3 separate regions of the Mus musculus genome follow, and regions 1 and 2 are each reported to be linked to region 3. The links are microRNA targets in miRTarBase. Many come from high-throughput screens and were not tested one by one. Region 3 holds a microRNA gene; each other region holds the end of a gene's coding sequence.
The links. Region 3 holds the annotated microRNA mmu-miR-124-3p (UAAGGCACGCGGUGAAUGCC, at 5,877-5,896, shown strand). A microRNA usually pairs through its seed, bases 2 to 8, with sites in the 3' UTR of a target mRNA and lowers its output. Matches are read on the target gene's strand: a 7mer-m8 pairs with bases 2 to 8, a 7mer-A1 pairs with bases 2 to 7 and ends in A, and an 8mer does both.

Region 1: miRTarBase lists Slc40a1 as a target of mmu-miR-124-3p. Seed matches in the 3' UTR shown: 8mer at 5,999-6,006 and 7mer-A1 at 5,040-5,046.
Region 2: the mRNA of Zfp3 is a reported target of mmu-miR-124-3p. The part of its 3' UTR that is shown has no 7-base or 8-base seed match.

Annotation. Positions count from the first base shown.
Region 1 is chr1:45,903,290-45,913,996 of GRCm38, forward strand. It overlaps Slc40a1 (solute carrier family 40 (iron-regulated transporter), member 1), which reads right to left. Exons shown (of 8, transcript NM_016917.2): 6 at 8,947-9,192; 7 at 7,603-8,241; 8 at 4,781-6,430. The coding sequence ends at 6,117. It also overlaps the pseudogene Gm18303. Among named protein-coding and RNA genes, the nearest start is that of Slc40a1, 17 kb to the right of the region's middle.
Region 2 is chr11:70,768,336-70,779,042 of GRCm38, reverse strand. It overlaps Zfp3 (zinc finger protein 3), which reads right to left. Exons shown (of 2, transcript NM_177565.3): 2 at 6,115-7,834. The coding sequence starts at 7,826. The coding sequence ends at 6,333. Among named protein-coding and RNA genes, the nearest start is that of Zfp3, 9.2 kb to the right of the region's middle.
Region 3 is chr2:180,888,207-180,898,913 of GRCm38, forward strand. It overlaps Mir124a-3 (microRNA 124a-3), which reads left to right and starts at 5,834; the gene lies at 5,834-5,901.

The DNA.
Region 1 (10,707 bases), not on the chromosome of region 3:
ATAATTTATGGAAAAAGGTGAAACTCAGGGTTTTTTCTTTATTTTCTTTGGACATTTTAGTTTAGTTTTTGGTCTTATCTACTATCTTAGGCTAAGTTTATTTTTAAAATTTGTATGTATTTTTATTCATGTGGTCAGTGTGTGCTCCACATGTGTGCATGTGCTCCCAGAGGCCTGAAGACTCAGGTGGATCTGTGTCATGCATGTGACTGCTGGGAAGTGAATCAGACTCCTCTGCAAGAACAGCAAGTGTTCCTAACTGCTGAATCATCTCTATAGTCCCCTAAATTTATTTCTTAATCATGGTAAAATATACTAGGAAATTTGTATATCTACTTACTCATGTAGTAGATCTTTATAATGCTTGATAAATATACTAACCGTCAAGGTGAACTTGACTTTTTGTCTTTCTTCAAACTCTGGATATATTCACAGATTGATCAGTAGAGAAAAAACCTTGGCAAACAAACTATGGTTATACAACAAGGACGTATCTCTTTCACTTCATCAAAAAAAAATAATATATATATATGAATAAACAAAATGTTTACCGTGGTTACTCCCAAAAATTCAGAACAGGTTGGGAAGTGAGCATTTCAGTCAAACCCTACACGGTTTTCTTTTTGTCCAAGAGGAATGAATTATCATGACAATTTTTTAAAAGTTGTTTTAAAACATCACTGTTTAACCCAACAGTGCAGGTAGCACATGAAATAAAGAAATGAGATGCCCAAATCCTTAACATTGACATGATAGGTAGTAAATACTTTCTAGTTTGAAATTTGCATCACAAATGTTTGCCAAGTTTTCCCTGGTTCTCCAGACTTTGTAATTTCTGTGTAAATTTCATTTCTCAATCACTAACTTTATGAAAATACTATCCACGTATTCATAAACCACCTCAGTAGAAAATGCTAATCCTCTCTCTCACTCTCTTTTAGAAAAAAAAGGCAACACATGCATTTTGTTTATTTGGTGGGTTGGCTTAAATTTTTTTGTATGTTTTCAGATTAATCATCAATATTTAATAGTGCCAGGTTTGACCAGCACAGGTCCACATCACATGGCAAGGGGTCATGTACTCGCTGGCTGAGCTCTGAACCCTGAGCACACCTCATTCTCTACCCACAGGCCTTGGGTGTGGGTACCTTCAGAATTCGTTGTGCACCCTTTTCCTTATAAAAGTGTATGGGAAAGGGATTTTTTTACTTCACAAAGGGCAAAGGACAAAGGACATTGACTAACAAGCTTGTTAGGTTTGTTACTGGTGGGTGGGGTGGAGGAGAGGTAGGGACAGGTGGAATACTTCTTTGAAAGTTAAGTGAAATAAGCCAGACCAGAAAGGGAAAAATTTCATTTCCCTCGTTTTAGGAATCTAGAAGAACAAAAAAGAAGACACACAGGTAGAAGAGAGACCATTAGAGAAGAGGAAAGAGTCAGAGGGGAGGGGAGGGACAGAGGAGATGGAGTGGTGGGTAAGACCCAAATATACATATGACTGAAAATGTCCCAACAAATCCCATCGTTTTATGCAAGTAATGAAAATTAACCAAAGGGAAAGGAAAAATGAAGGTGTCTTCATTGTTCTTAATAGACAACCCAAAGTAGTCTGTTGGAAGAAACTGCTTAAAGAGAATGAAAAAAGAACACAAGAAAAACTAACGAACAAACAAGCTGCAACGAATGTGATTTCAAGTAGGAACCCAATGAAGAATTCTTTTAAAAACGTAATTACAAACAAAATAAAGGACTATTTTCCAACTTCTAATTCACTATGCTATATTGGCCCACTGACACTGAAGCGTTTTTTAGTTTCTCTCTTTCCCCTTCCAGTGTTCTACCCCTGACATAATTCTAAACCTGCAGGCAGTAAACATTCCCGTCCTTTTGCCCCTCCTCCTGCTCAGTGCAATAGCTTGCAAAGATAAGGGCAGCAGCTGTTGTAAAAATCCTATTAACTCCGTGCTCTGCACGGCTCCTGTGGGTCTGGCATTTGGCGAAGTGCCTGCATCAAGTGCTGGGATCTTTTCCTGCTCAGATGGTTCTATTCAGTGGACAAGGTCACAGACCTTCAGTTATGGCTGCAAACACTCTGAGCAGATATCTAACCCCAGCTTGACCTCTGGGAGGGAGCAGAGGGCCTGTGCAAGATTGCAGCCAAGCCTAACATTTGGCATCTGCTGTCTGTGAAATCTCCAGGGCTGATGCCAGAATGTCTTAATATGAGGGTAAAAGGGATCTTTGTCTACCATGTCTGTTAAACTTGCACTCAGCAAGCCTGATCACAGATGTGGTGCTTAGACCACATCTCCAGTAAAGGGTCACTGAATGTTTCCTGAATGGAGACTTTGGAGGCTGTGCTTGAGGGATTAGATACACTACTTGCACACAAGGTTCAAACCAGTAGGTGCGAACTCAGAGCACTCCCTTGGAGAGATAAAGAACATGACTTGTGTGGGAGATGGGCTGGATCCCATGAAGGTGAAGGCTTACCAGTGTTCATTACACAGAAGCAGCCAATGGAGAACAGTCTTGACTGTGAGGTGAAGAAAGAATTGAAGGTGACAACTGAACTCCATCTCACGAAGGGCAGATTTGATGAACCTGCCACATACCTGTTGCAGTGGGCCCAGCAGAGAAAAGATTCTGTTTGCCTATGCTGTAGAAATCTGCAGATTCAGGGCTTAACCAAAGCCACGTTCATAGAAATCTTCAAAAGTGTACATCCCGGCTGTATACAGGAGCTTGTCCTAAACTGTATCTTCATAGAAGAGTTGGCTTTTCTTAATCCCTACCTGAGACAGATGAAAAGTCTTTTCATACTCACACTAGATCACATCATAGGTACCTCCAGTATGGGTGATTCTGAAAAGCGTGATGAAGAGAAAAATATTCAGATTGACTTCTCAACTTCCCACACTCCACTGTCGCCAGAAACTCTATGCAAACAATGTCTCTTTTATAAAAGGCAACCTAAAAGAATGCCTCAGGTGCCTGAAGAAGCCTTTGGCGACACTTTGCATCACTAACTGTGACCTTCCAGTCAGCCTTGGATTACCAGCCCTATTGCCTGAATATTTGTGAGCTCAAACATCTTTAACTTAGTGAGATATAAATATTTATGTTATTTACTCCTTGAGCCTATTGGGTTTCTTCTTGAGAGTTAGAGATACCCTGCAAACCCTGGAATTGGAGTCATGTGGTATAGAGGACTCTCAGTTCAGTGCCCTGCTGCCTGCCCTAAGCCAATGTTCTCACCTCAGAGAGGTCGATTTCTATGATAATGTCTTTCTGCTTTTCCTGAAATGACTTCTACACCACATAGCCAAGCTGAGTCAGCTGACCCAGGAGCGATACCCTGCCCCTCTGGAGTGAAAACATTGTCCTGAGCTCCTGGATATACTCAGGGCCAAAAGACAGCCCCAAATTATCGCCTTTGAAACAACTCAATGCTCTAAGTATATGGTGGGGCCTATATTTATGATCTTGAGACCAAATGTTGCTTTTTTGCAGAACTACTATAAGATTGATTGTGAAACAGAGAAATGGAAGCTTAGGATTGGAGATTGATGAAATCCTAAGTGAATGTCCACTGCTGAATGGAGCATGGAAATGTCAATCACCTAAAAGTCTGAGGCACACTGGAAAGTCAAGATCTTCCTCTGAGCTAGTGAATGATGTTGCATCTGCAGAAAGTATCAAGCACTCTTCTCCTCTAGGATTCTTGTAGTTTAAGTGTGTTACAATAGAGGTACGGTTTTATGAGACTGGCCCCCTCATAGAATAAATGTATTGACTTATAAAATTAAAGAAAGAAAAAGAAATGGGCTAATGAATAACTCCCCAAAAGAAGAATTATGGGCTGGAGAGATGGCTCAGTGGTTAAGAGCACTGACTGTTCTTCTAGAGGTCCTGAGTTCAATTACTAACAAACATCTAGGGGCTTATAACCATCTGTAATGGGATCTGATGCCCTCTTCTGCTGTGTCTGAAGACAGCTACAGTGTACTCATATAAAATAAATAAATAAATCTTTAAAAAAAGAAGAATCATAAATAACTAATAAGAATCTCAAACTCATTCAACATCCCCAGCCATCAGAAGTGCTCTGAGTATAAGTACTTTGAGATACCACCTCACTCATCAGAATGACCATCATAGGAAATCTGATGGCAAACGCTGGCAAGGAACTGAGAAAAATGAACCCTTGCTCACTTCTGGTAGGAGTGAAAACTAATATAGCCATTATATAAATCATTATGAAGAGTTTGTAAAAAATTAAAAAAAGAAATGCTATGAGTCAACTATACCACTCCAGGGCATAGGATTCTATATCCAACCACATTAGTCACTGCTCCCTTAACAATAGCAGGGAAGTGGAAATAGCCTACATGTCCATGAAGAGATGAACCAATAATAAAAATGTGCCATTATACACAACAGAATCTTTTTCTACTATGAGGATGAATGAAAATTTGAAAATTTCAGAAAAATAGATGAATCTGGAAAATATAATTTTAAGTGAAAAGATCCAAATTCAGAAAGACAAACAAGTTCTGCTTCATATGCCGATTCTCATCTTCAGTGTGTGCATGGATACAGATGTTGAGTCCAGATGTGATGTGACTTTGTACACAGTACAAAGACAAGGTATGGTTAGGTGACAAGGAAGGACAGGACATGGTCAGAAAGACATAGGAGGGAAGTTACTGGAAGGCAGCAAGGAGGGTGGATAGGGAGGAGCATGTGAGAGGGGAAATTGACTACAGCACACTTTGTTCAAAGGGCGATGATGATATCAAACACTTTTTATATGCTAATTTTGAAATAAGTAACAATAATTGGGAGAACACAACTCAGTAAAGGCAAATGAAGATTCTACAAACATTTTATATAGAAATATTTTATGAAGCTTTGACAACATAGTAGATCATTATGTCATACTGTAATAAAGGTGAAGGAAAAGATTAAACTGAACGACAAAGAAAGTGCTCACAGCAATGCATGGCAGTCAGTCTCCATGAAAGTGCATCAAAAGTTAAGGCAATGTCCCATGTTGGTACTGCATGTTACAAAAAGACTTGCAGAACAGTTTTAAAAAAATATTTACAAACAGTTTTTTCTTTATTCTTCTCAGGGATATTGAAAGGGGAACTTTTGTGACTATTCTTGCTCTAGAAAAACACAGAGATGACAAACACATCGGCCCAAGTCAGTGAAGGTAAAATGTTCTATACAGACTCACTGATTTGCAGTCCTTTCTTAGTGTGGGCCGCTTTTCTGCTTGTAAGGTGCCAGGTCAGTTCTCTCATTTACCAAAATAGTTAGTGATGGCTGATGACAGTGACTCTGGTTACATGAGGTCCTCACCCTTAGCTTCCAGTTTCTACAATCACACTAATAACAAGCTTTAAGTCCTTCTGTACCACACTAGAAACCTACAACTTTTCTTCTTTCTGCAGATTTTGAGAGTCATTTTATGAAGAGCCACCATACACACATTACTGTAATATTTTGCCCTTTCTGATGGTCAAAATGCAAAAGTTATTCCATGAACCTTTTGGACAAGTCTAGTTACACATTTCATCCTCCACATACAATAAATTCCTTAAGTTCAATGGGATTAATAAGGATAACATTCATTATCTAACTATAACCTTCATACATGGAGGAAAAACTTGTTTCTGTAATGTAACTGAGAAAAATATCACTGATCTTAAAAAAAGGAAGTGGAGCAGAGTTTTACAAGAGTGAGTTTTAGGGTGAATTGATTTATCATTCCAGTAGATAATAAATATCTGCTAAGGAATAATTTTACTCACCTGACAACCACTCTTTAAAATTTAATATACTCATAAGAGTAAGGGAAGTTCATTTTACCATTAAACCCTTCCTATACACACGCTGACTGCCTCTCCCTCTTCCTATTTTCCAATGTTTACATGTAAGGAGAAATAACCATCTTTGCTGGCGATGGTTAGTTAGTGCTCCTAGCCCTTAAGGCACAGATGTGGTAAAACCAGAGAGAAATGCAGGCATTTATTGGGATTCTGCAGTACAAAATAAGCACACATGCTCTCCACAATCTAGTAACAGGGGCCACAGCTAAACTATTTTTATACAACAGATGTATTCGGTTGATTTTCATCTGTAACTTCTTTTTCATCAGGACCACAAACAAAAATCTGGTTGCCCAGAGTCTTCTGGGCAAATCGGAAATACATAAGATGTCCCATTGCCACAAAGGAGACTGAAATCAATACCAGCAAGCCAAAAGCTTCAGGATTTGGGGCCAAGATGACCATGATGAAATGCAGAAGGTCAAGAAGGTAGTTCATGGAGTTCTGCACACCATTGATAATGCCTCTTTCAGATTCAATTACATTTTCTTGCAGCAACTGTGTCACCGTCAAATCAAAGGACCAAAGACCTGGATGGTAAAGAATATTTTAGGAGGTGAAATTTTAGTGTATAATTGAATGTACAGTTACATAGCTCACAGTATCCAAGTGAGTTAATATATGCAAAACACATTGAAGTTCTACAACCTTTGAATTACCTATATATAGAACAGATTAACCGCATTTTACCTTATATAATTTATTAGCATATAGTATACTATATAACTTACTAGTATGTGCTAATGCCTTCAAGAATGATTTCCCCAGCCACAAGATAAAGCTGAGTCGTAAGTTTCTCAGTAAAAAGCATCAAGGATGCAGAGCCTATATAGATTCTAGCACTTCTAAAGTTTAGAGTGACCTAATGTACTGCCACAGCTAAAGAGCACAGAAACTTGAAACCACTGTTATATTGCTGCTTGAGGATCATAGGGCTCCCAATAAAGCTGTCTTGACTGAGTATTAATGTCCCTGATAAATTAATGAATTGCTCTGTATCACAAGATAAATATGGTTTCATTTCAAGAATGAATGAATTCAGAGGCCATTCACCAGCATTCCATTAATGATTACTGAAATTCTGCTCTGTAAGTGGCCTTTCCATAATGCTTCCGGAAAGAAGTTTAAAACCTCATATGTGAGTCAAAGTATAGAGTAAATGCAAACAGCTACAGAAGACTTTTGAAGGATGTTTCTTACAACCACTCTGTCTTTAGAAGAGTGTCTTTGTCTGTAAGGCAATTCCCTAGCATGCAGAAGGCTCTGGGCTTGATCCCCAGTAACACACACACACACACACACACACACAGACACACATGGAAAGGGGGAAAGACTTAAAAATATTCCATTAGGGACCTAACTCAGAATTAGAGGGCTCACTTGACATGCATGAGGTCCTGGGTTTTCTTCCAACACACCACAGACACACAACTTAGGAAAATAAAAAAACCCAAAACACTTTATACACACACACACACACACACACACACACACACACACACACACATATATACATGCAAACATATAGTTTAAACTATTAAGTGAAATTTCATGTTTAGAGAGTATATTCTATAGATAAACTATGGGTTTTGCCTAAATTAACATCTGTTAAGTACTTCAGATAATTTATTGTTGAATTCTCTACACTAGGTTTCTAAAATGATGCTTGTAATTTTGTAGTATGCAGAAAGAGTGTTCTTACCGATTCTAGCAGCAATGACTCCTGCAAACAGCAGGCTGACAGAGACTATGGGGATGGGTTTAGTACTCATCTCATGGACATTAGACATGTTGGACATATGCATTTCTGTTGTAAAGACGGTCTCAGGTATTTTGGTAGTTGGGGACACTGGCTCCACATTCACAAACCTAGAACGGATATCTTCAAATGGAGAAACAGACAGGTCCAAGGGGCTTCCAGGCATGAATACGGAGATCACACACAAGATTAAACAGGAAAGCTGGGCTAGTCCTGAGAATAGACCAGTCCGAACAAGGCCACATTTTCGACGTAGCCAGGTGAAGGCCACAGTTCCCATTATTCCAGTTATTGCTGATGCTCCCATCAAAATACTAAGGATGGATCCACTCAGCCCCTGAGTGTAGGCGTACCCTGTAGTGATACAGTCAAAGCCCAGGACTGTCATATAGAGGAAAGCCAGGCCCATGCCAGCCAGAAACACTGGCTGGTTATAGTAGGAGACCCATCCATCTCGGAAAGTGCGGAAGGGCTCTGCCATCTGGGAGGCACAGGTGGGCTCTTGTTCACATTCAAGTTCACGGATGTTGGAGTCTTTCTCACCCATTAGATGAGTTCCCTCCAAAGGTTTTGGCTCAGTATCTGTTAATAAGAAACATCATTATTTTAGAGGAAGAACATGAGGAGTAAAAGCCAATTATTTTTGATTTCCCCACTCCCTTCCTATATGAATCTCCTTCAGTACTACATTATAATCTGTTTTTCTTTTACTGCTAATTTACGAAGTACAGCCATGGAATAACTCTCAAATACCAGTTTTGCTTTCAAAATACTTTTGGTCTCTTTATAAACCTCTCTTTCTTTTAGATATTACACTCTCATTGAAGTAAACTGCAGCAACATTCATCAAATAAAGCATAAAAATTATGTGGCGGGGGGGGGGGGATATCTTCTTTTCTGCAACCTCATAAAGAGTTCATTTACCAGAAAACCAGCCTCCACTCCTCCTGGAAAAATCTTGCCTCTCTTTCTGCCTCCCACAGTTTCCAAAGGGCGATTTTATTCTCCTCAGAAAATATTAAGAAATGCTCATGTTCCCATCGTCCCATTTCTATGGATCATTTTCCCAGGCCTCCTCAAGCAGTTGTTTTCTATGCCCACTGCTTCATGAAGAAGGGCCAGGGACCTCCCAAGCCTTTTTATATTCAACCCACAGTTCTTTCCAGAATCTGAAAAGATGATATTCCAACTCATCTAGGCTTTCCCTGGAAACACAGCCCGGACTAGAACTTGGTCTTCACAGAAAAGTTCAAGGTCTGAGTACAGAGCTAGTGGTTGTGCAGTTACCTTTAGGTGAGGTCAGCTGCTTCAGTTCTGACTCCTCTACCTTGAGAGCAGCTTTTACAGCCAGAGCAGGGGTCTTCTGGTAAACCTTCCAGAGCAAGAAGTACTCCACACACATGGACACCAAATTCCAACCGGAAATAAAACCACAGCCAATGACTGGAGAACCAAATGTCATAATCTGGCCGACAGCCATGGGGGCCAGGATGTTGGTTAGCTGGTCAATCCTTCTAATGGTAGCATTCATGTCTACACAGGTAGGTGCAAGAGGCAGGTAAGTGAGAGTTACAACCTTTGTTTATGTGCTATAAATCTAAACCAACAGTACAGACTCCCGAGAGGGTTGCTCCTGAAGGCACTCTCTGGCCAAACCATTTGCTGTGAAGAAAAAAAAAATCTGTCCTCCCCTGTTTTCCTGAAGTTAACATTTCTCTAGGAAAAGTCAATAAGCAATATATACTATAATATACATTGTATATTACATATATGTATAGAAATATGTTCATAAACAGGCATTTAAATATATCTAACATTAAATTGTGGCAAAACAAATACAATGCTCCTTTAAAGCAGTAGCCCTTGACATGCCTAATGCTATGACCCTTTAATACAGTTCTTCATGCTGTAGTGACCCCGACCATAAAATTATTTCATCACTACTTCATAATCATTCTGCTACTCTTATGAATCATAATGTAAATTATGCAGGGTATCTGATATGTGACCCCTGTGAAAGGGTCATTTGACATCATCTCGAAGCAGTTAGGACCCATAGGTTAAACTGCTTCAAAGGCAGAATTCAGATGACTTGGTTATAGATTCTGATTAATAGAAAATAAGAGGAGTCACAGATGGCTCTACAAAATGTTATTTCTTTTTAGTTTTCTTGAGTAGAACTATTTACTGAGAAGTAGGTGACTTCAGAATACTCAAATTTAGTCCGAGAGAACTCGAATTTGATTTTAGAAATATTGACTTTTGACAGACCCACTGACATTCAAGAGGCTCTGTTATGACCAATGGTTAAATAAACAAATGAGACTGAAGATTTGGAAAGAGATAAGACCCAATTTTGGACATTTGCCAATTTTTAAAACAATGGCATTAAATGGAATCCCAAGAGAGCACGTGTAGAGAACACAAAGGGGCTAAAGTGTTGGGAATGCCAATGCTTGGAGGTTGGAAGAGTCAGTGTTAGCTTTCTAACCTCCACCCCACAGTCAGTTACCTAGCAACAGCCAGGTAGGCCTGACCCACTATAAAAGGGGCTGCTGGCCCCCTCCTCACTCTCTTGCTCTTTCTCTGCTTCCCTTCCCCCCCTTTCCACGTGTTCATGCCTCTTCACCTCCCCTCCACTACTTACTCTCTCTCTCTCTCTCTCTCTCTCTCTCTCCATGCCCCCCTCCCCCCCCACCTCCACTACTTTCTTAACTCCCTACCCCATGCCCTGAATAAACTATTCTATACTATACCTTCGTGTGGCTGGTCCCTCAGGGGGAAGGGATGCCTCAGCATGGGCCCACAGAGGCACCTCCTTCCCCTTTCCCCCCATACTTCACCACACCTCCATAGACCATATTCCTCCTCTCTTTATCTTTTTACAAACACATCTTTCAGTAGAAACTAGCAAGATGATAAAAACAAAAGTATAGTGTCCTGGAAACCAAATGGGGACAGTGGTCAAAGTGCAACAAAATCACCAGTGCTAAGAACTGGTGAAATCAAGAAAGATGAGCACTAAGAAGGACCCTCAATGGTCCAGTG
Region 2 (10,707 bases), not on the chromosome of region 3:
GAAAGCAGAGGCAACATACCTGTCCATCAACAAGGGACTTTCAGCTTCATGGAAGCCACAGGAATGTTAAATTTCTGTCACTTAGCACGGGCTAGCACGTGATGCTCAGTAAGTTCTCATGGTAGGGGAGAAGAAAGGCAATAGGGACAACTTGAAACTTGCCATTTTAATTTAACTCTTACCTTCCCACCAAACAGGAAGACAACAGCAGAGGCCTGTGTATCTAGAGAGCTGTGCTTGGTACATGCGTGTGTGGTCACCTATGCGTGTTCGTGTGTAGGCTGGAGGCTAATGTCAGGTGCCTTCTGTCATGTTCCAACCTTAGTTTCTGAGGCAGGGTCTTTCCCAAGCCTGGGACTTGTTGACTTGGTTAGGCTGGCCAATGAGCTCTGGGAATCACCTGTCTGCCCTTCGCTTAGGGTCACAGAATTTCGAATGGGTTCTAAGGATAAAAACGCAATTCTTCCTTCTTACACTTAACTTGCTGAACCATCAATTTAGCTCCACACATACAGACTTACACACACAGACACTTGCTAGGTAATTCAGGCTAACATCAAACAAACTCTGTAGCCCGAGGCTGCTCTCAAACTTTCAATTTTCCTGACTCAACCTCTCAAGTATTTGGATTACGTGTGTAAGTCACCACACCTGTCTGGGGATTTATTTATTTATTCTAAAATGAAGGTTTATTTCTGATGTCTTAACTTGAAGCTACAGTTTTAAACCACCGGTTGCAAACACTGCCATCTATAGGTGAATTAAGATCTCAACACACTGTGGATCTAGGGACCTTTACTGTTTAAAAAAATTATACAGCTGGGCAGTGGTGGCACACGCCTTTAATCCCAGCACTTGGAGGCAGAGGCAGACGGATTTCTGAGTTCGAGGCCAGCCTGGTCTACAGAGTGAGCTCCAGGACAGCCAGGGCTACAGAGAGAAACCCTGTCTCGGGAAAGAGAGAGAGAGAGAGAGAGAGAGAGAGAGAGAGAGAGAGAGACCCTGCTGCTCTTCCTCCCAGTGCGCTGTTAAGTGGCTCAGGGACCACATCTGGGCCCTGCACTCAGGGACACATCCACATGCATACACACATCCACACAGATGAACAGAAAATAACAGATGCAGACAAAGGTGCTGAGACAAAGGAAACTTACACACTACTGGTCCAACCCCTGAAGTCAGTATGAACAATCTGCGGAACACTGAAAATGGATGCACCACGGGCCCGGCTAGAGCACTCCTGGGTGCTTACCCAAAGCACTCTTAAGCTAACATATTACAGACACACTCACAGGCATGCCCGTGTCTGTTGCAAAACAATCGACAATAGCTTAGTTATGAAAGCAACTTAGGTGACTCTGAACAGAGGAATGGATAGAAAAGAGGAATGGATAGAAAAGAGGAATGGCATGTGTTGTGTGTGTATATTTAATCAGTCTCAGAAAGACAAATATCACATTTTTATAAATCATATAGATATTATAGACATGAAAGAATGATAACTGTATAACGAACAGACAGAATTAATGAGAAACAAGAAAGGGAAGAAGTATGTTCAGAGTACACTACACATTTGTATAATGGGTGGGGTGTGATTTCCTTGAGGCGCTATCGCTGCGCTGGTAGATGTTTCTGTGGACGCTAGAGGGCAGCCTCCACCCACCCAGCTCTACGCAACCAGCGCTCACAGAGCCCAGTCCGCACCATGCAGCACACTCCAGCTTGTAGGAAGCAGTTGTGGGCTCAGATCTGCGAGCACAGCAGGGTAGGGTTCGAGAAAACTACCACCCTCAACTTGGAGAGCGCTCTGGAAGTGGAAGTTGACAAGAATATTGGGGTCTGAGGTTGGGCCCCTCAAAGTGAGGTGCAGTGTCATTCCCTGGTGGAGCTGGAAGCTTGGGTGGCCGTTCTCAGACGTGGGGGTCCTAGGCCTGATTTCCTCTGTATGCAAGAAGGAGGGCCCCGACTTGGTATCCTTAGATCAAGAGAGGCCAGAGGTCATGGGGATGGAGAGCAGAGGTGCAAGGTGCACAGGGATGGAGTCGCTGCACACCACCCAGGACCTTCATCCTGCTGCTTGCCATTCCGTGTCTGTTACTGTTGTACACCGTATCTCATCTGGGTCCAAGGTCAAACAACAGGCATGCATTAACTCAACTCTGCCAGGTACCTGTGCACCAAGATCTGCTCTCTTTGCTCCATGAATGGCTGAGGCCTGCTGAGACAACTGTAAACCAGATGAGCTACAGGACTCTGTTTCAGAGACCGCCTTGTCAGAGCCGACTTTGCACAATGCCCCTGACCTGCATTGAAATTAGCTGAGGTGGGGAATGATGGTGAGCCATCTCTCCAGCCAATTAGTCCTGGCTGTTCGCTTTTTAATTATCACCTCTGGCTGATATTTCACAGCTGCAGTGGCAACTCTCTATCACTCTGATTTTTGCAAGTGTTTTAGTGACAGCAGGTCTCAGGCATGTCCCTAATACTCTAAACCAAGACACCTTGGTGGGGCTAGAGAGGGGCAGTTAAGTAAGAGACAGTAAGTAAGTAGACAACTGGCTGCTCTTTCAAAGATCTGGGATCCAGGGTTCAGTTCCCAACACCTACGTGGTGTCTAACAACCAGAGGGAACTCCAGTTCTAAGACATCTGATACCCTCTTCTGGACTCCACAAGTACTTCGTGTACATACATATATATACACACACAATCTTGGGCACTGAGTGGACACATGAACACACATACACACACAAGCATTTAAAAGACAGCACCTTTTGACATCAGCAAAGACATACTTTATTTGCTTAAAATGTTAGGGGAGGGAGGGAACGGGTGTTGACATACCTTCGAAGATTCTGCAGAGTTTCTCTGGGCAGTTAATGGCTTCAGCCTGAGAGGCCTACTTTATTTCTTGAGAGTGGGTCTGAAGTTAGCTCGTGACTTGTCTTTGGCAGGACTCTGCTTGCATAGAATTACGACTGCTAGCCACAGCTACAGTGGGACGTGGGACACCAGGGCGAGTTGAGAGTAAGGAGGGCAAATGAGGGAAATTGAGAAGTCTCCCTCAAACAACCAAGTGATAGGTAGAGGGATCAACAGACCAGGACAGAGGATATGCATATGCCAAACGTAAGATGAAGACTATTTCCTCAACCAGAATTCCTCTCAGGCAACACGCACATAAATTTCTTTTGGAACATGAGGCCTTCATTCTCTTCCAAGCATGTAAGGCACAAGAAAAACTTGTCACTAATGTTCAAGTGGACGAATGGGGTAAAAGGCCTTTTTGCTAAGCAGTGATGGTTTAAGGAAACTGAGTTGAGAACAGAGCCCAGTTGGTGCTTGCTATCATGCCCAAAGCCCTGAGCTGGGGATGGCAGTGCACGACTGTAATCCCGGCCCTCTGGGAGGCAGGAGGTTCGGAGGTTCAAGGTCACCCTCAGCTACAAAGGGAGTTCATGGTTGGTCTGGGCTATTTGAGATGTGTCTAAAAAGGAGAAAAGAAGAAGAGAGGAAAGGAAGGAAAAAGAAAGCAACTGTGTGCTGGACTTAGGTGGAAGGATTTGGTTATCAAAACCAAAAACCAAAACAACACTAACAGCCCAAACTGACGGAGCCCAGAAAAGGTCCGGGCATGATGGTTCATGTCTTTAATCCTACCACGGGGAGGCAGAGGCAAGGAAGTCTCCAATTTCAAGATCAGCCTGGTCTACACAGCAAACTTTAGGCCAGCCAGGGGTACATGGAGAGATTGTCTCAAACATAACAAAACAAACCCTGCACCACTACTTTCAACATGAAGGGACTTCTGAGGAGATTGCCTAGCAGGAAGGACAGACAGTGCGAACCTTCACCCTCCATAGCACGCTCACCCGCAGTGAAGTCCTTAGTGCTTTGTGCAAGCTTCCTTTGGGGGAAGTCTGAGGAGTGTTGATGTCTTTTTCAGACAGGGTTTTCACTTGGCTTTTTAACTTTTATTGTAATTATTCAATCACATTATAAATGGGGCTTGTAAGGTGCTGGTTCTATATGATGACGGAAGGGATGAAATTGGAAGTAAAATATGCCAACACAGAAACCAGAAGTTAAAAGCAGTGGGTGATGCCCTGGTGTCATGTGAGAAAGATGGTGTGAGCACAGCTCCCTTTGAGCCTGAACAAAACATCAATCAGTAAAGAGTGAGGCCACAGCCTGGGCCAGCCCGAGAGCCTCCCCTGCCAGACACTGACCCGGGGAGCGACCTGTGGATCTAGGAAACAAGTGATCAGCCTTTTCTCAAGGCAGGCTGTGAACCTGAGAACTGGTGTCAGGGTACAGAACACGCCTGCTCTGCACAACGGGGCTGGGCTGAGTCACATCTGCAAAGATGTGGTTACAATTCTTTGTATTAAAGTCTAGGTGGTGACTAGTAAGGACAAAAGGGGTGCAAAGGGTTTAAAAGTAGGCAGTAATGATGGGCCTGTGCACAGCACAGAGGCCAATACAACAGTGGCCACTAGTCTTAGCTCTAGACCTAATACTATCCCAGGTAAATCACCTCACACGCCCTGTCCCGCCAAACCCATTCATCTTTAACTTGACTCCAGAACACTTCATTGAGGAAAATACCAAAACTCTGTAATTTACTAAAAGTCACTCAACTGAACACACACCGCGAACCCTATGATGTAAGTTGTACCTAAATAAAGCTACTTTTAAAAGGTGTGCCCACACCATACACATACCATGAGAAACAAATGTAAGCTGACGGGCACACTGCCTGGCACAGAGTTAATTATAAATACTGATGGTCAGAAGCCTGGCAGGCAGACAACTACTTAGATCCCAACTACTTAGGGAGCTGAGGCAGGAGGATCACAAATTTAAGGTCTGCCTGGGCTACACAGTGAGTAAAAGACCAGCCTGGACAGCTCATCAGGATTCTTTCTGGCACGGGAGGTGGCGAAGGAGGGTTAGGGCCATAGTTTAGCGGTAGAGTGCTTGCCTGGCTCAAAAAGACTAGTTAAACACAGTGCTGAAAAGAAAAGCGATTAGTCTATTTCCTTAGAGGCTGGTTGAGACTTGAGAGATCATTTAACTCAACACCCCTTGCTCTGCAGATGAGAGAACCGGACAGCAGGGACTGAAGGGCCTTCCCGAAGGGACAGTTCTCAGATGAGAGCCCAGGCTCCTGGGTTTTCTTTACTGCCATTGCTGTTACCACTGCCTACCCCAAACGTGGAAGTGTCAGACTTGGAGGACACAGAAGACGTGTAGAGATGTTGGAAAAATATTCTACGACCATCAGACAAGCCAAAGAGGCTTCACATACCATCTGTTACCCTGAGCCCCCAGCTGGGTGGTCATGAGAGCTCAATGTTGGAAGGGCCAGGCCTGGTTAGCCAGGTATCCAGCTCCCCACCATGGCCAGCAGTCTGGCAGAGAAAGGCCACAGGATCCTGCTTACTACTTCCTAACAGGATGGCTGCAACAGCAGGAGCTGCGACCAAGGGCCTGCGGCAGGCGCCTGCCTGGGCAGTCTGCACACAGCGCAGAGCAAGGGCAGCGGCTACCAAGCCTCTTCTGCCCGGTAGCCCGACTTCCACTCTTTCTCCGTCTTCCTCTGGGTTTTCAGGCTTTTGGCTCCTGTCCTGTAAACTTTCTCCTTTTCCTAGAAACCTCTTCAGATAAATAAGGAATCTATCAGGAGGTGTGAGAAGATGCAAGCTTCCTGCCTTTTCACTATGATCACTATAGCTGAAAGATTTTGAGGCTTAAAAAAAGAAACGGAAGGAAAGGTTAGTATCCAAAGCCAAGCAGTGGAAGGAGAGGTTAGAAAGCCAAGCAGTGGACGGAGAGGTTAGAAAGCCAAGCAGTGGAAGGAGAGGTTAGAGTGGAAGGAGAGGTTAGAGTGGAAGGAGAGGTTAGAGTGGAAGGAGAGGTTAGAGTGGAAGGAGAGGTTAGAGTGGAAGGAGAGGTTAGACCTTTCTAACATTTCAGGAGACATTGAGTCAACCCTCTGGTTCTTAGGAATGGTGAATCCCGTCCCCACTTTTCATAAAGAACAACAACAATTTAGGCTAGACACATGTACAGAACCCTGTGGAGACAGACAGAAGGAAAGGCCAGAGGAGGATTAAAGCCGGAGATAACTTTTATGATTTAATTTAGTATGCTGAAACTTCTCAATAAATAGTTCATAAAACTGCCTCATCACTTTCGGCCGACGACTGGCACACACTCAGTGGACGGGCAGGGGCAGGCCCTGTCCCTTCATCTGATCCTAGGGCCCCGGTACAGAGCAATGGAGAAGTCTGCCTCCAGCCTCCCCACACCACCTTCCTGGCCTGCAGATCACTCGCTACAGTGAACGCTCTGGTGCCGGAGGAGGTGGGAGCTCCGACTGAAGGTCTTCTGGCACTCCTGACACTCATATGGCTTTTCTCCAGTGTGAATTCTCTGGTGGATGGTGAGCTGGGAGTGTTGGCTGAACGTCTTCTCGCATTCGCTACACTCATAAGGTTTCTCTCCAATATGAATCTTCTGGTGAAGCAACAGCTCAGAATTATCCCAGAAGGTTCTTGCACACTCATTACACTGATGGGGTTTCTCCCCAGTGTGGATTCTCTGGTGGACAATCAGATGAGAGGTCCGCCTGAAGGCCTTCCCACACTCAAAGCACTCATAGGGTTTCTCCCCTGTGTGAATCCTCTCGTGTCTCAGGAGCTCCGAGTTACCCCTGAAGGCCTTCCCACACTCTTTGCACACATAGGGCTTCTCCCCGGTATGAATTCTGATATGTCTAATAATTTCTGAGTTCTGGCCAAACGTTTTCCCGCATTCACTGCACTCATAGGGCTTGTCCCCTGTGTGGATTCTTTGATGGCGGATAAGCTCCGAGCTCTGACCAAAGCCTTTCCCACATTCATTACACAGATAGGGCTTTTCTCCCGTGTGGATTTTCTGATGTCTGATGAGGCCGGAGCTGTGCTTGAAGGCTTTGCCGCACTCACTGCACTCGTGGTATCTTTCCTCTGTGTGAATTCTCTGATGCTGGATGAGCTGTGAGCTAACCCGGAAGGTCTTCCCACACTCGTTACACTCATAGGGTTTCTCTCCAGTGTGGATTCTCTGGTGCAGAATAAGGGCTGAGTTCTGACTGAAGGCTTTACCACACTCTTCACATTTATAAGGTCTTTCTCCAGTATGGATTCTGTGATGGTGAATCAGATGTGAGCTCTGAATGAAGGCCTTGCCACACTCAGTGCAAGCAAAGGGTTTCTCTCCGGCGTGAATTCTCTGGTGCCTTCGAAGGCTGGAGTTAGTCCCGAAGGTCTTTCCACACTCTTTGCATTCGAAGGGTTTTTCTCCGCTATGGACTCTCATATGCTGGATGAGATGTGAGTTCTGATTAAAAGCTTTCCCGCACTCTTTACACGTGTGAGGCTTCTCTCCCACAGGAGGCCCCTGAGCTTTAGTAAGCTCTATACTCCCCAGGCAGTTGTGGCCAGAGGCAGCACATGCGCTGGCCCTCTCAGCACCTCCATGACACAATACACTAGGGTTAGGATTAAAGCCTCTCGGATTCTCACTGGTTTTCTCACCTGAGGACGACTTCTTGAAGATAAGTAACCCAGATGCAAAGTGTCTCTCCTGAGGATACCTTTTTTCTATAATCTCTTTCGAGGACTCTCTCAAATGTCCCTCTGACATGTCTTCCTCGCTTGCTTCTCCAAACTCATGGCCATGGCAAACCTCCTGTGCAAGTTTTTCTACTGTTTGCCCATGTGGCTTGGAGTCTTCAGAAGTTTCTTCCTTGGGAAGTCCCTCCTTTTTCTCAGTCCCCATATCACAATCTGAAAGAAGAGAGGGTACTCATGTGAGGCTGCTCTGTCCTATCTAAATGACACTGCAGGTGGGGACACAGGGCCTGGACATGGCATTGGTAAGACCCAAAGACAGTCCTGCCAGTGAGGCAATGGCAGACTGCTGCTGACCTAAAGGAGTGAGAAAAACCCATAAGAGACAGAACATCTGATAGCAACAGGAAGTGTGCAGTGCAGAGATGCTGGCAGGAGCTGTGTGGCACTGTCAGTTACAGGAGAATTCAAAGTGATAAAGAAAGCACTGTGGGGAATTAATGGCCATATTAACAAAGGGTGTATGAAAGGGGTTAGAAGAAACCAAAGTGCAGGGCAGTGGTGGCGCACACCTTTAATCCCAGCACTTAGGAGGCAGAGGCAGGCGGATTTCTGAGCTCGAGGCCAGCCTGGTCTACAGAGTGAGTTTCAGGACAGCCAGGGCTACACAGAGAAACCCTGTCTCAAAAAAACAAAGGAGAGAGAAAGAGAGAGAGAGAGAGAGAGAGAGAGAGAGAGAGAGAGAGAGAGAGAAGAGAAGAGAAGAGAAGAGAAGAGAAGAGAAGAGACTGATAAGTTAACAGAGACAACTTTTGAATGTAAGATGAAAGAGCCACACAGTGTTGAGCAAGAGGATGCATCTTTTTTTTTTTTTTTAAGATTTATTTATTATTATATGTAAGTACACTGTAGCTGTCTTCAGATGAACCAGAAGAGGGCATCAGATCTCATTATGGGTGGTTGTGAGCCACCATGTGGTTGCTGGGATTTGAACTCAGGACCTTCAGAAGAACAGCAGTCAGTACTCTTAACCACTGAGCCATCTCTCCAGCCCCCAAGAGGATGTATTCTTTCTTATCTGTATTACCCAATAGCCCTAAAGAGCAGTGCACAGGGGTTACCTACTCAAAGGGTGATACAACAGCACAAGAGTAACTTCTTAGCCCCTTACTTTTGGGTGAAGTGAGGGTAAATGTGCTGAACTGCACTAGGTTCTGACTCCCTACAGAGCCGTTTTAGGATGATCTCGACATTGTTTGCCAGCTGAGCAAACACCAGGCTTGCTATTGTGTCATTGGAACTCACTCCTGTGACAGGGACAGTAAGATTCCCAGGACAATTATATTAGTTAGAAGTAGGCTTGACTTCATGTAATAATGTATGTATACTTTTTTTTTCTTTAAACAGAGTCTCACTCTGTCTAACTGAGGCTCACACTCAGGATTTTCCTACTTATGCCTCAGGATTATAGACACTACGCCCAAATACAATTTATTTTTTGAAACAGGGTCTTCTCTCTGTTTAGTCTTGGCTGTCCTGGAACTCAGGCTGGTTTGAACTCAGAGCCCCTGTCTCCTGAGTGATGGAATTAGAGGTATGTGCCACCATGCCTGGCAATAATGAGCTTTTTAAGAACCACGCCTTAGCCAAGGCATTAACATATTTCTGCCTTGCATAAATGAAGGCCAGAGGCAGGCATTCTACAGTTGGTATGACAGAACTGTGAAGGTCTCTGGCTCTTCCCAGCTCAGACTCCCAGTCTTAAGAGTATGCTGGTATATTCCTAATCAAAGGTGGTGCTCCAAGAATCACACCATGCCCTAGGAACAGATATGCAGAGGAAAGCAATGGTACCATGTGCACTCCTTTGCCTACCACTATCTCATCTGCCAAAGTTTGGTCAAATGACTAGATGTGTAAAGAAAGATCAGACACACACACACACATACACACACACACACAATCACTAAATAAATCCAAAGGTGACCCTCATGGGAGAATAAACAGTGCAAAGAACTTCATCCTTAGATTTGGCTGGGTGGTGGTGCACATATTTAATCCCAGCATGAGGGAGGCAAAGTCAGGGGGATCTCTGTGAGTTCAAGGTCAACCTGATCTACAGAGTGAGTTCCAGGACAGCCAGGGCTACACAGAGAAACCATGACTCTAACTACCCCCGTTAATAAAAGTCTTTAAAAAAAAAAAGGGGGCTGGTGAGATGGCTCAGTGGGTAAAAGCACCCGACTGCTCTTCCGAAGGTCCAGAGTTCAAATCCCAGCAACCACATGGTGGCTCACAACCATCTGTAACGAGATCTGACGCCCTCTTCTAGTGTGTCTGAAGACAGCTACAGTGTACTTACATGTGATAAATAAATAAATCTTTAGGAAAGAAAAAAAGAAAGGAAGGAAGGAAGGAAGGAAGGAAGGAAGGAAGGAAAAGAAAGAAAGGAAGGAAGGAAGGAAGGAAGGAAGGAAGGAAGAAAGAAAGAAAGAAAGAAAGAAAGAAAGAAAGAAAGAAAGAAAGAAAAAGTAGACTTGTGGAATGATTTGAGGCTGAGGAGTGGTATAGTCTCTGTTTTTTTGTTTTGTTTTTTGTTTTTGTTTTTGTTTTTGGAGACAGGGTTTCTCTGTATAGCCCTGACTGTCCTGGAACTCACTTTGTAGACCAGGCTGGCCTCGAACTCAGAAATCCACCTGCCTCTGCCTCCCAAGTGCTGGGATTAAAGGCGTGCACCACCATGCCCTGCTAGTCTCTGTTTAAATCATAATGTCACGTAGGTGCATACTAGTGGCCATTTAATAGATGAACTACAATCAGTAGACATGATGGCTGGGGGGGCTAGTGTAGTCATCCAGGCTAAAAGAAATGAGACCCAGGCAGCAGTGGCAGTGAGAATGAAGAGGAAATAGACAGGAGGAATATTTAAAAGATTGAATTCCATAACACCTAGTATGTGATATCAAAGTGTAAAGAAGAGCGAGTGGACTGGAGAGATGGCTCAGTGCCTAAGAACACTGGCTGCTGTTCCTGCAATGGGCCCAGACTCAGTTCCCAGCACCGCAGGATGCTTCACAGCTATCTATAAC
Region 3 (10,707 bases):
GACAGAACAGCCCTGTAGCTCAAGCAAGGGCTTCTCCAAGGCAATCCGCTACTCAGAAACTTCAGTCTGAGATTCCAGATCAAGCCAGCTCAGTATTGTAGATACCATGTGATCAGACTCCCTTTAGTGGGACCCTGAGGTCTGGGGCCTCTGAGAACCTACAGGAAATGAGATGGTGCACCAAGGGACTAGGCACGATGTGGGGCATTTCTGGTGAAGAGTATGAGCTCCCTCTACCACTTGGGAGGGTGTTCAGCCGAGGAAGGCTGCACAGGGTCCAGGAAGAACACTCCCTGCTCCCTACTCAGGGGTCAGGCTATAAACTGTGGGGGCAGCAGGGATAACATAGATCACTCTGCCCTGGGCATATTCAGCAAAGAGAAAGGGAACACAGAGCCCTAAGCCTAGGATGTCTTCATCCCACCTTTCCACTGCCTGGCTCTAAGATGATCAGTCAGATGAAGGTTGGGTCCCAGAGAAGGAGACACTCAGGCTCCCAGGAATCCTTGCCTCTGCTCTTCAGGGGCCTCTTCTGGCTTCCCTGAGGCCTAAGTTCTAAAAGAAGGAGCCTCTGAGGGGTAACCCTGCCAAAAGGTCTCTGTGCCTGGACTGAGTCTATGAAGCCCTTCAGAATTCCAAGGAGACCAGAAAGCATCCTCCCCAAGAGCCTGTTGTGATGCTTGACCCATTTTTCTGGTTTGTATAGGAGCAGTATTGGCTCCTGGCTCCCAGATGGTTTTATTGACATCAAGGTTCCTAGGTGGAAGTAAGATGGCTCACCAGGTGAGGACACTAGCTGCCAAGCCTGAATTTGATTCTGCATAATGGAAGAAGAAAATGGACTCCCACGAGTGACCTACTCCACGTGCACACTGTGGCACATTCCCTCAATACATGTATGCAACAAACAAAGAATAAATACATAAATGTAAATTTTATTAAACAATTTTTTAAAATACCCCTGGAGTATAGCCATCCTCCCACAGCACTCCGCCTGGGGTCTCAGGCTTGGCCTAGACGGAAAGAGAAGTTTTCTACATAAAAGCCAAGGCCCACTCTGAAAGGTAGAGAGTTGAAGGGAACAGTGTGTGCCATCTCTGCTACGGTGGGTGGCCAGTGAGTCACCTGAAAACACAGGACTCACGGGAGCATCAGAGCCTAGCCAAGGATAGCCAAAAGGTTGGACCCCAAGAACAAAAGGCCTGTTCCCGCCGCCGCGGCCGCTGCCGCCCGCCACAGGCCAGCAGCTCAGCCTGGATCCCTCAGTCTTTGTCCTGCCCTGGTTAGCCCTTGCGGATACACACTGCCTCCTGTTTGTATTCCTCCTTCGCTCCCCACCCCCACCCCAGCCTGCCGTTACCTGGCTCTCCAAGTCTATGCAGTGTTGAAGGCCCAGGTGGAGTTTCTGAGGGACCCCGGGGGGCCACGATGAGTTTCACTCCCTGGGTTTTCATCTGAGCTCTGTCCACGGTGCTCACTCTACTCAGGGAGGAGGAGGGAAAGGAGAGAGAAAAAGGGGGGTTGGCCTCATTTCCATGTGGAGGGCCCAGGGCCCTGTTCGTGCCCCCCCCCCGCACCCCCTTCTCCATTGTCCACAAGAACCTCACTCACAATTGCAGTCTTTGTAGTGGCTAGCTCCGCCCTCAGCACTCAGTCATGGTGGGGGTCCCGCCCCCCCCCACCTCTACAAAGGACTAGGAGGAGCAAGGCCAGATCTTTCCTTCCCCGTTGGCCCCACCCAGACCATAGCTTAGGGCAGCCAGAGTTAGCTGCATCTCCAGGTGGAAAGCACACCCTCGGAATGTTGGGTGGGAGTCACTCATCCTTAAACTCTCCTTAAAGCGGGCAGTGAAGTGTCACCAGGTACCTTGGGGTGGGGGTCGCTCTCAGAAGCCTCTCCCCTTGGGCATCAAGTACATGCCCTGTCTTGAGAGCTTCAGTCTCAACTCCAGCTGCATCAGGAGACAAGCTGCCCTCAGGAGAGAGGTTTAAGGCCACCTGTACTGGGTATGAAGAGGCTGAGGCCTGTGACATTCCTGTGTGAAGGCTTTCAAGCCTTGACCACCCATGTTAGATCTGAGAGGCTATGTACCATTTAAATCCTGCAGAGGGATGTGGGGCTGCAGCTGGGCCTAGAGTCCTTGCACCCAGCCCAGCAAAGCTGATCCCTTGTTCCCTCTGCTGGCCACATCTGTGTTATGGGCCCTGCATCTGTCCTACCACTCCATCCCCAGGCCACGCATGTAGAGGGGGACTGTGGGCCCTGTGGCAGCCTGAAGGCCTTCTCCTCCAACTCTTCCTTTCCTCACAGCCAGGGTGGGATCAAGGGTCAAGAGACTGTGGGCCAGCTGTTCCCAGATGTGGATCAAGGCCCCTCCCCTTTCTGGAGGAATGACAAGCCTCCTGCAGAGGAGGGGGCGGTGGTGTGACGAAGAAGAAAGGGCGGAAAGGGAGGGAGTTCTCCACGGGTTTCTGTTGATCTGTTTAATCCCACGCTATCGCAAGCTTTCGCGGATGGAGGGCAAGAGGGGAAAGGAGGGGGTCTAGTCCGCATCCTTCCCTTCCTCCTCCCACCCCCACCCCGCCTGAGCCACCTGACCCGTCTCAAAGTTGCCGGGCTGCGGCGCGCATGGCCTTTGTGCGCGCGGAGCAGCGGCCTGGAACCTGGAGCCTGAGCCAACTGGACTGTGTCGCCCCACCTTCGTGCCCCTTCCTCTCCCTCACGTACCCAGGAGCTAACAAATAAATAAATCCACAAATACAAATTCGCAGTGTGCTGGGGAGAGGCGGCTGCGCCGGGAAGAAGGAGCGTGGAGAGGTGAGGCTGGGCCGTGGGGAGTCCAGGGAAGAACAAACCTGAGCCAAGGCCCAGCATCAGTAAGTTGACTCTGAAGGTTTCGCGGTCATCAAAAAGATCCCTACCGGGCAGACTCAAAGGAACAGGCAGAGGAATGCTTGGGGTGGGCTCCCCTTCTCTTAGCGCACAGGCAGCTCCACCCCCACACCCAGGACAACCCTTCCCCCAGCCCTTCAGGGCCGGGCGGCAGGACGCAGGGAATTGGAAATAGAGAAACCGGGTGCTCCGGACTGAGTGCATAGGAGTACCAGGAGGAAACGCGCAGGCACGTTTCGGCGGAGATGCAAAAAATTAAACTTGGTTTGACCCATGGAAGGGGTGCTCTCCCAGACTCCCTATGTACCATGCTCTGGCTTGCTGTAAATATCTCTCACGAATAGTAAGGGGAGGCCGAAGGGAGGTCCTTGGCCTGGGAAGGGAACTGGTCTTTGAGGAGTCGCTGTACGGAGCCGGCCCCGTAGCAAGCGCGCTCCTAAATCCGAGGCTCTTTGGGAGTGCCTCCTCCACCCCCGCGCACCCTCCGAATAGAAACGAGATCTGGGCAGGCTAGAAGCGGAGATGTGTTAGACCACTGCAAAAGCCGAGGGTGGGGCTGAGGGATGGTAAAGGGTCTGCTGTCCTGGGAGCGCCTTTTCTGGGCGAGGATCCAGGCTCCGCGGATGGGAAGCGATTCGGGCAGGCTTTGCTGTCTACACCATGGACAGCAGACCGTGAAGGTTTGGTGTCATGGACGGTGCTGGGGACCTGACCCAGTACCCTCTAGGGAGAGGGACCACTGGCCAGGCAAAGAGGAGCTGGTTCCAACAGGGAGTAGCCTCTGCTCGGAGTCTAGATCCTCCACTCTTGAGCCACCAGCCAGTGTCCCTCGGGCTGCAGGTGCTGGCAGGCCGTGGGTGGTTTCCTTGACTTTGGGTTGGGCATAAGCAAAGGTGGGCTTAGCTGTCTGTGTAAGAGGGGATTCTCTAGCGTCGGTTGAGACTGGCACCTGCAAAGGGAAGGATTTGGGGTTGGGAGAGAAGTATCCTGACCCTCTGAGGACCTTCGGGCAGTGGGATGAGATCTCCGGAGATTACCTCCTTCCCAGCTGAGTGTCTTCGGGGGTTCCCACGGGGCTGGAGAAGGTTGGAAAGGGAGGGGGAAGAATTTATGCCTGGGTCATTTAGCTTCTGTTAGAGGGCAGGTGGTCAAGGGCTGGGTTGGCCCAGGGAGAAAGGATAGGACAGAGGCCTGCCTACTTCTGTGTGGTTCTTCCAGTCTGCAGGAACAAAGGCCCGCTGGGAAGGCCTAGAGTGGCGTGGGTTTTTTTTTTTTTTTTTTTTTGTTTTTTATTTTTGGAAAGCCGCTGATCTCTAGCCCTAAAGACCCAGATCAAGGTAGTCACCCTTCAATAGACTGCAAAGAGTAGATTCAATTGCAGTCAACTGTGAAGTATGGACTGTGTTTCTCCCATCCTCGTAAGCAAGGACTCGCTACCCAGCTAGAAAAAGGGTGAAAAAGGGGAGCAGTCTCTGATGGGGGTTGGGGGAGATGTCTAACTCCCTTCTCCACATAGGGCCGCCAGCAGGAGGCTAGGACCCCTTTCTTTCCCCCCCCCAGGAGAGAGAGGCTCAGAAGCCACTGTGTAGAGTGGTTATTCCGGAAGGACCAGCCGCTTGTGTGAGGCAAGCACAGTGTGTTCGCTGCACAGCGGGGTGTGGCTGGTGGTGGGTGTAGAGGAGCTGCGGTCGGTGGGCTGCGGGAGAAGCTTTTGCGTGGGTCGTGCAGTAGGACAGAATGAGCGGTTCGAGAGTGTCCAAGAGGCAGTTTCTCTGCATACGTGTGACCCCGGGGCGCCGGGCACAATCGAAGGCGTTCGAGGGCTGCATCCGTGTGAGTCGAGGAGCGCGCGGAGCGGGACGCCGAGCGTGTGCGCGGGAGGCACGGGTCGCGCGGTGCGTGAGTGCGCGTGTACGCGGTGCGCGTGCCCCTCAGTTCTCAAGGACACCTCCGAGAGGAGGCGGCAGAGCCGGTGTCGGGTGACGTCACCGCGCGCCCCAGTGATAATCGCCCGGTGCCGGAGCCGAGCGCGGATACGAGCGGAGGCAGCGGCGGCGGCGGCGAGCGCGGGGACGGTCGCACCCGGTCTAGGCAAGGAGAGTGGGAGTCAGACTCCCGCAGTGCCGACCTCGCGGACGCCGGGCTCCCACCCGGCCCTCAGGAATTTGCCCGGCTTCCTTGGCACTGTCCCTGCGCTCTCCTCCACCCGGGGCCGTAGCGTGCGGGTCCTGCGGGCGCCAAGAAGGAGGCGGAGGCGGGATCGGGCGACAGCGCAGGCTGTGCTGCGGAGCGGAGGCGGCAACCGAGAAGCAGCAGGCGGCGGCGGCTCGCGCCCGGACGGGTAACTGCGCTGGCGGCCCGTGCCGGGGCGAGCCGGTCTCTCAGGTCACCCCGTCTTTCTCTCCTCGAGCAGCTTCTCGCCAGCCAGAGGCGTAAGAGAAGAGAGCTCGGCGGGTTGTAGAAAGAGACTGCTTTTCATCTCCGAACATCGAGGTTCTTTATTTTCACCGCACTCACGCACTCCTGGTGGGGCCGGGAAGAGGAGCCGGGGAAGGGCAGCTGCGGAGAGGCTTGCGCCGCCGGGGTGGAGAGGGCTCTGCACCCGTCAGAAGACTGCAGCAGGCCGGAGCACGCGCGCTCACCCCGGCCGGCTCCTGCATCTCCCTCGCCGCGGCTCCGAGGGGTCCCTACTGCAGGAACGCCCCGAGGGATTTGCCCGGGCCCTTCTCTACCTCGGGGAGGGGAAGGAAAACTGGCTCCTCGGAGTTGGGGGCGGACCAGGGCAGCACTGCCAGCTTAGCGCGGAGCCCCGCCCCGCCCGCCCGCCCCGCGGCGAAGAAGCTGGAGCATTCGCGCCCCTCAGGCTAGGACCCCACGCAAGCCGCAGCCCGGCCCCGACCCGGTCCAGCCGCTCGCCGCCCGCCGCAGCCCTGAGGGCCCCTCTGCGTGTTCACAGCGGACCTTGATTTAATGTCTATACAATTAAGGCACGCGGTGAATGCCAAGAGAGGCGCCTCCGCCGCTCCTTTCTCATGGAAATGGCCCGGGAGCCCGGCCGTCGCGGCGCCCCTCCCGCGGGAAAAAGGCGAGCCCCGGCCCCCGGTGGCCCCTCGCTCCGCGGACAAATCCGGCGAACAATGCGCCCGCCCAGAGGGCGGCCCAGCTGCTGGGCCGGGGATCTGGCCGCGGGACACAAAGGGGCCCGCATGCCTAGGACGTCACGAGAAGGGTGGGGGCGACCGCGGGGGAGAATGTGGCCACCCGGCCCCTGACCACGTGTGTCCGCAGCTCTGAGTGCTCGAGATCCCGAAGAGGGAGACGAGGGCCAGAAGACAAAGGGAGGGGCTGGGGAAGCGGCGGGCTGAGGGGCGCGGGAGGGAAGTGTGCAGCTTCCCGGGTTGTGTTGGCGCGTCCCGCTACCCACGGGCAGTCCTGGGCGCTGTCCTCGGTGCTGGCCGTGGAGTCACCCAGAGAGACGGGGCGCTAATGCGCTTGGGGCGAAGGGATGTCATGAGTATCACTGTTCCCATCTAGGGGGCCCTGGATAGTTGCCGCAGCAACCCCAGAGAAATGGGGTAGGGTCTGGGGTCACTGCAGTCTGTCCCCTGGGCGCTCTAGTTGGGGTCGCAGGGTGAAGGCGGTGATCACTTTGATTCTGAAGAAACCCCTGAACCTTAGGTTGAGGTTCGAGCTGTGGAAGTGGGGGATCTGCATCTGCATCCAAGGTCTAAATCTGGGTGGATACACTGGACCGCATCCCGCCCCCAAACCTCTCTCCAGCTATGCGGGACGCGAGGCACGTGAGGCTCTGCAGCCCAGAGAGAAAATGACAAATCCTCCTCCTCCCTCCCCCACCACCATCTGCAGCCGCAGTGACACCCACTCAGGTCTGCTGCAGGCATTTTTTTTCCTGTCCTCGGCAGCCAGCGCCACCTGCTGGCGTCCTGGTATGAGACTCTGCTCTGGCATGTCTCCTCCCAGCAAGGTTTCCGATCCCCAAGGTTACAGGCCCTATTACCTAGGGCAATGGTTCTCAACCTTCAGAATGCTGCTACCCTTTAATAGAGTTCTTCATGTTGTGGTGACCCCTCCCCCCAACCATAAAATTATTTTCGTTGCTACTTCGTATTTTGTTGCTACTTCATAACTGCAATTTTGTTACTGTTATGAATCCTAATGTAAATATTTTTAGAGATAGAGTTTGGCAAAGGAGTCCTGATACACAGGTTGGAAACTGATGACCTAGGATTGACTGTCAGTGGAGGAGGTCACAACCTCTGCACCCCCACCCCCTCAGACAAGTTGCAGACTTGCTTTTCATCTTCATGGGGTGAGTGTGAGCCCCTTTCCTGGCTCTGACCCAGATCCAGAACTGACCGCCCAAATTCTCCTAGCCTCAAGTCCTGTGCAGTTGCAGAAAAGCAAGACAAAAGGGCCCGCGTGAAGACACAAAGAGATGCTGCAGGGAGACTGCTTCAGTACTCCATGGAGAGATGCACACAGTCACACACTCATAGACCACTAGTGCCTTTGCATCCTGTCCCCAAAGCAGAGCCTCTGCAGAACCTCTGCCTCTTGGAGGGTGGAGAAGGGGCCCAAGCATACCACAGCTCTGACCTTGGGCTTGCTGTCTCTTTTTCCCTTCCTCCCTCAGAAGAGCTGCAAGGTGAACTCAAAGCAATACTGAAGGAATTGGTAGAGGTATCAGTCCTCTAGTGTAAAGGTTCCTAGGGGGCACAGGACTATGCCCCTCGTTGAGCTCTGTTGGGGGTGCTCTACACTGCAGCCTGGCTCTTTTCCCAGAGGGAAGATTCCCCCTGCCTCTCCCCTGGAACTAGAGCTCCATTCTTGTGCCACCGCTGCCCTTGCTGGAGAGTTGGCTCCTGACCACAGTGACCTTCTGGGCTGTGAGCAGAGATCGGGGTGGGGAGGATGGTAAGGGAGGTGGGCTGGAGAGTGGATAGGCGGTAAAGCCCATGGCAAGCTGCCCTGTGCCCCAGCCCAGGTTGAGTAGCAATCACCTTCACTCACCTTCATTGCACCCCCTTCAGTGGAGGCTAGGGGCTTCAGTTCAGGGGCACAGGACCAATCTGGGCATGGCTAGCAGACATGGGGCATTCGGTAGGAAGGCCATTTTTCAATCCTTACTGTGCTCAGGGTGCAGCACTGTCTGCTGGGGTGTGGGCAGGCCTCACGCAGGTGACTTAGAATCTCAGATCTACCCGTAGGGGGCTGAGTGCAAGCATCACTCTCTGACTCTCGGGACCAGCAGCCTTTTCTGCAGCCGCGCTTTGTAGCCTTTGTGGGCTAGCTTGGATGTCCATCCCTGTTTATCCTAAAATACATTCATCCCTACATAGACTGCCTGATCTATTTAGAAGCCAAGGCTCAGCATACGGGCTTGTTGGGTGCCAACCTGGTCAACAGCAAGCTGGGGAAAGAACATTCAGAACATTCACATAAACCTCCATCGGCACTGGGCCCTCTTAAGTGTAGGGACTAGAGAAAGGAGAGACACGGTTCGAGCATCCAATATAGTACATCTCCACTCCGAATGAAGCGCAGCATAGCTGCTGTCCCAGAGCAGTCACCTCATAGCTTTCTTGGGAAACCCTAATTCTCTCCAGAGGGGAGCATGTCACTTTTAGCCTTTTTGTCCTATTGGGACTGGAGATGCTTCAGAATTCAGCTTCCTGTCTCCATACTTCCAGCTCCCAGTCACAGCACTTCACGTGGAAGCATCCAGGAGCCCCGCACTGCTTGCCCTGAAGTCTGTGCTCTGGTAGTCTCTACCCGAGGCTCCAGCCTCTCTGCGCCTCATCGCCCCAACCTTCACTCCTGATGCAGCGGGTGGGGGCAGAGATGTTTCAGAGGGAAAATTAAGATGCTAGAGTGCTCCTGCCATAGCTTGTTAGAGAGACAGAAGAAAACGTGGGAAGAACTTCAATTGGCAGGAGGGAGCGAAGAGGGTCTGATTCTGCATGGCGGCCCCATCCAAGAGGAAGCAAGACAGGTATCAGCTTCTCTAGTGCACACACACAGATCTCCTCCCAGCCTCAGGCTATGCCCAGTCCACATGGCACACAAGTTCTACTTTCCACAATAGAGCTTCATTGGCAGCACCTCCCAGGGGTGTGATCAAAAAGTCATGGGAGTCCAGATTGCAGGGGCCTCTACCTTAGCCCATGCCTGCCCACTCGTACCCTAAATTCTACAGGATTCTGCCTTTACCCAACACAGGTTCCCGGACCTTTGTTACCAACAGAGGTCTAGGCTGCTCCTCAGCATCAGCTTGACCAGAAGGGTAAACCAGTATCCCCATGGCTACCTGCGACCTCCTAGTTGGTCACATGAGCAGGCCTAGGCTTCCTTGGAAGCTGAACCGTGAAAGTGCTGGCTCGGGCAGAATTTGATTTAAAGGGAGGATGAAAAGGGTCCGTTTGCACAGCCTGTTGTGCCACCTACACCCTCACAGCTGCTCCCATCCCTTCAGAGCTTAGGTACAGATGTCCCTAGCTCCTAGCATCAGCCAAGATGTAATAATAGCAACAAAAATTAATAGTAATAATAGCAACATGCCTGCCCTTCCAAGGTCTACACTTCCTACCTGGCTGCCACAGCCTTGACATTGAGGCAATCTCCACCACCTAGAAAGCCGTTCATCAGGAAGATAAAAGATAGAGCTATCATCTGTGCTTCGAGTGGGGGCCAGACACAACTTAGAAGTCCACATACACGCCGTTTCCACTGAGGCTCTGATGGAGGGGATAGGAGGCCTTTTCAGCAGGACAGGAGCACGCTGCACTCTGTCGTGTGACAGCACTCTCCCGGGAGCTAGGTCCCATCTTTGGTTCTCAGCCACTTTAAACAGGTCTTGTCAGGTTACCCCAGAGATGTCTGTAGAACCTATGTAGTCCTTCTCTTGCCTGAATTGTCACCCAAACTACCACTGACCATGAGCAGAGGAGATGAGCCTAGCACCTGGAGGACTGGGCATTATCTAGCCTGTTCATCCCCTGGGGCCACACCACTGTGAGTTTATACCAGGAGCTACGGAGCTATTCTCAGTGTGTGTCCAGATAGCCAGAGCGCCGGAATCAACATCCTTGAACTACTCACAATAAAGCCCAACTCTAAATACAGTGTCAGCCCACATGGAAGGATGGCCCAAAAAGGACCAGGTTTGAGAATCTTCTCAGTCCCAGGCTGTCACCGAGAGTCAACACTCCCCAGGGAGCACCATCTCTGTTGGAACAGAATAGAAATATGCACCAAGTACGTGGAGCAAGCTCAGGCAGTCTGAAGTACAGTGAAGCAGCACAAAGCTGAGGCACACACAGAATACTCCAGCACACACACACACACACACACACGCGCGCGTGTGTGTGTGTGTCTGTGTGTGTGTGTGTCTGTGTGTGTGTGTGTCTGTGTGTGTGTCTGTGTCTGTGTGTGTGTCTGTGTCTGTGTGTGTCTCTGTGTCTGTGTGTGTCTCTGTGTGTGAAGACCCTCTCCAGGTGCCTATGCTCACCACAGGTGGAACCTTGGAGATGCTTCAAGATTCTATACCTGGACAGGGATGGTGAGTGACACTGTGGAGAGCCAGGCCCCAGAGTGACCTCGAACATTGCCTAGACAGAACAAGTTAATCACTATGAACAAGGACAGGGGAGACAGAGGTATCCTCATCTAGAGACAAGTCCTACCTCAGCATGGGACAGGCACACAGGATAAGGCCCTAGATCTTCTGCATGCTCTCTGCTCTTTCATTCACCTAAGTATTCCTGAGCCTCTTCTAAGGACCAGGCTGTGTGTGA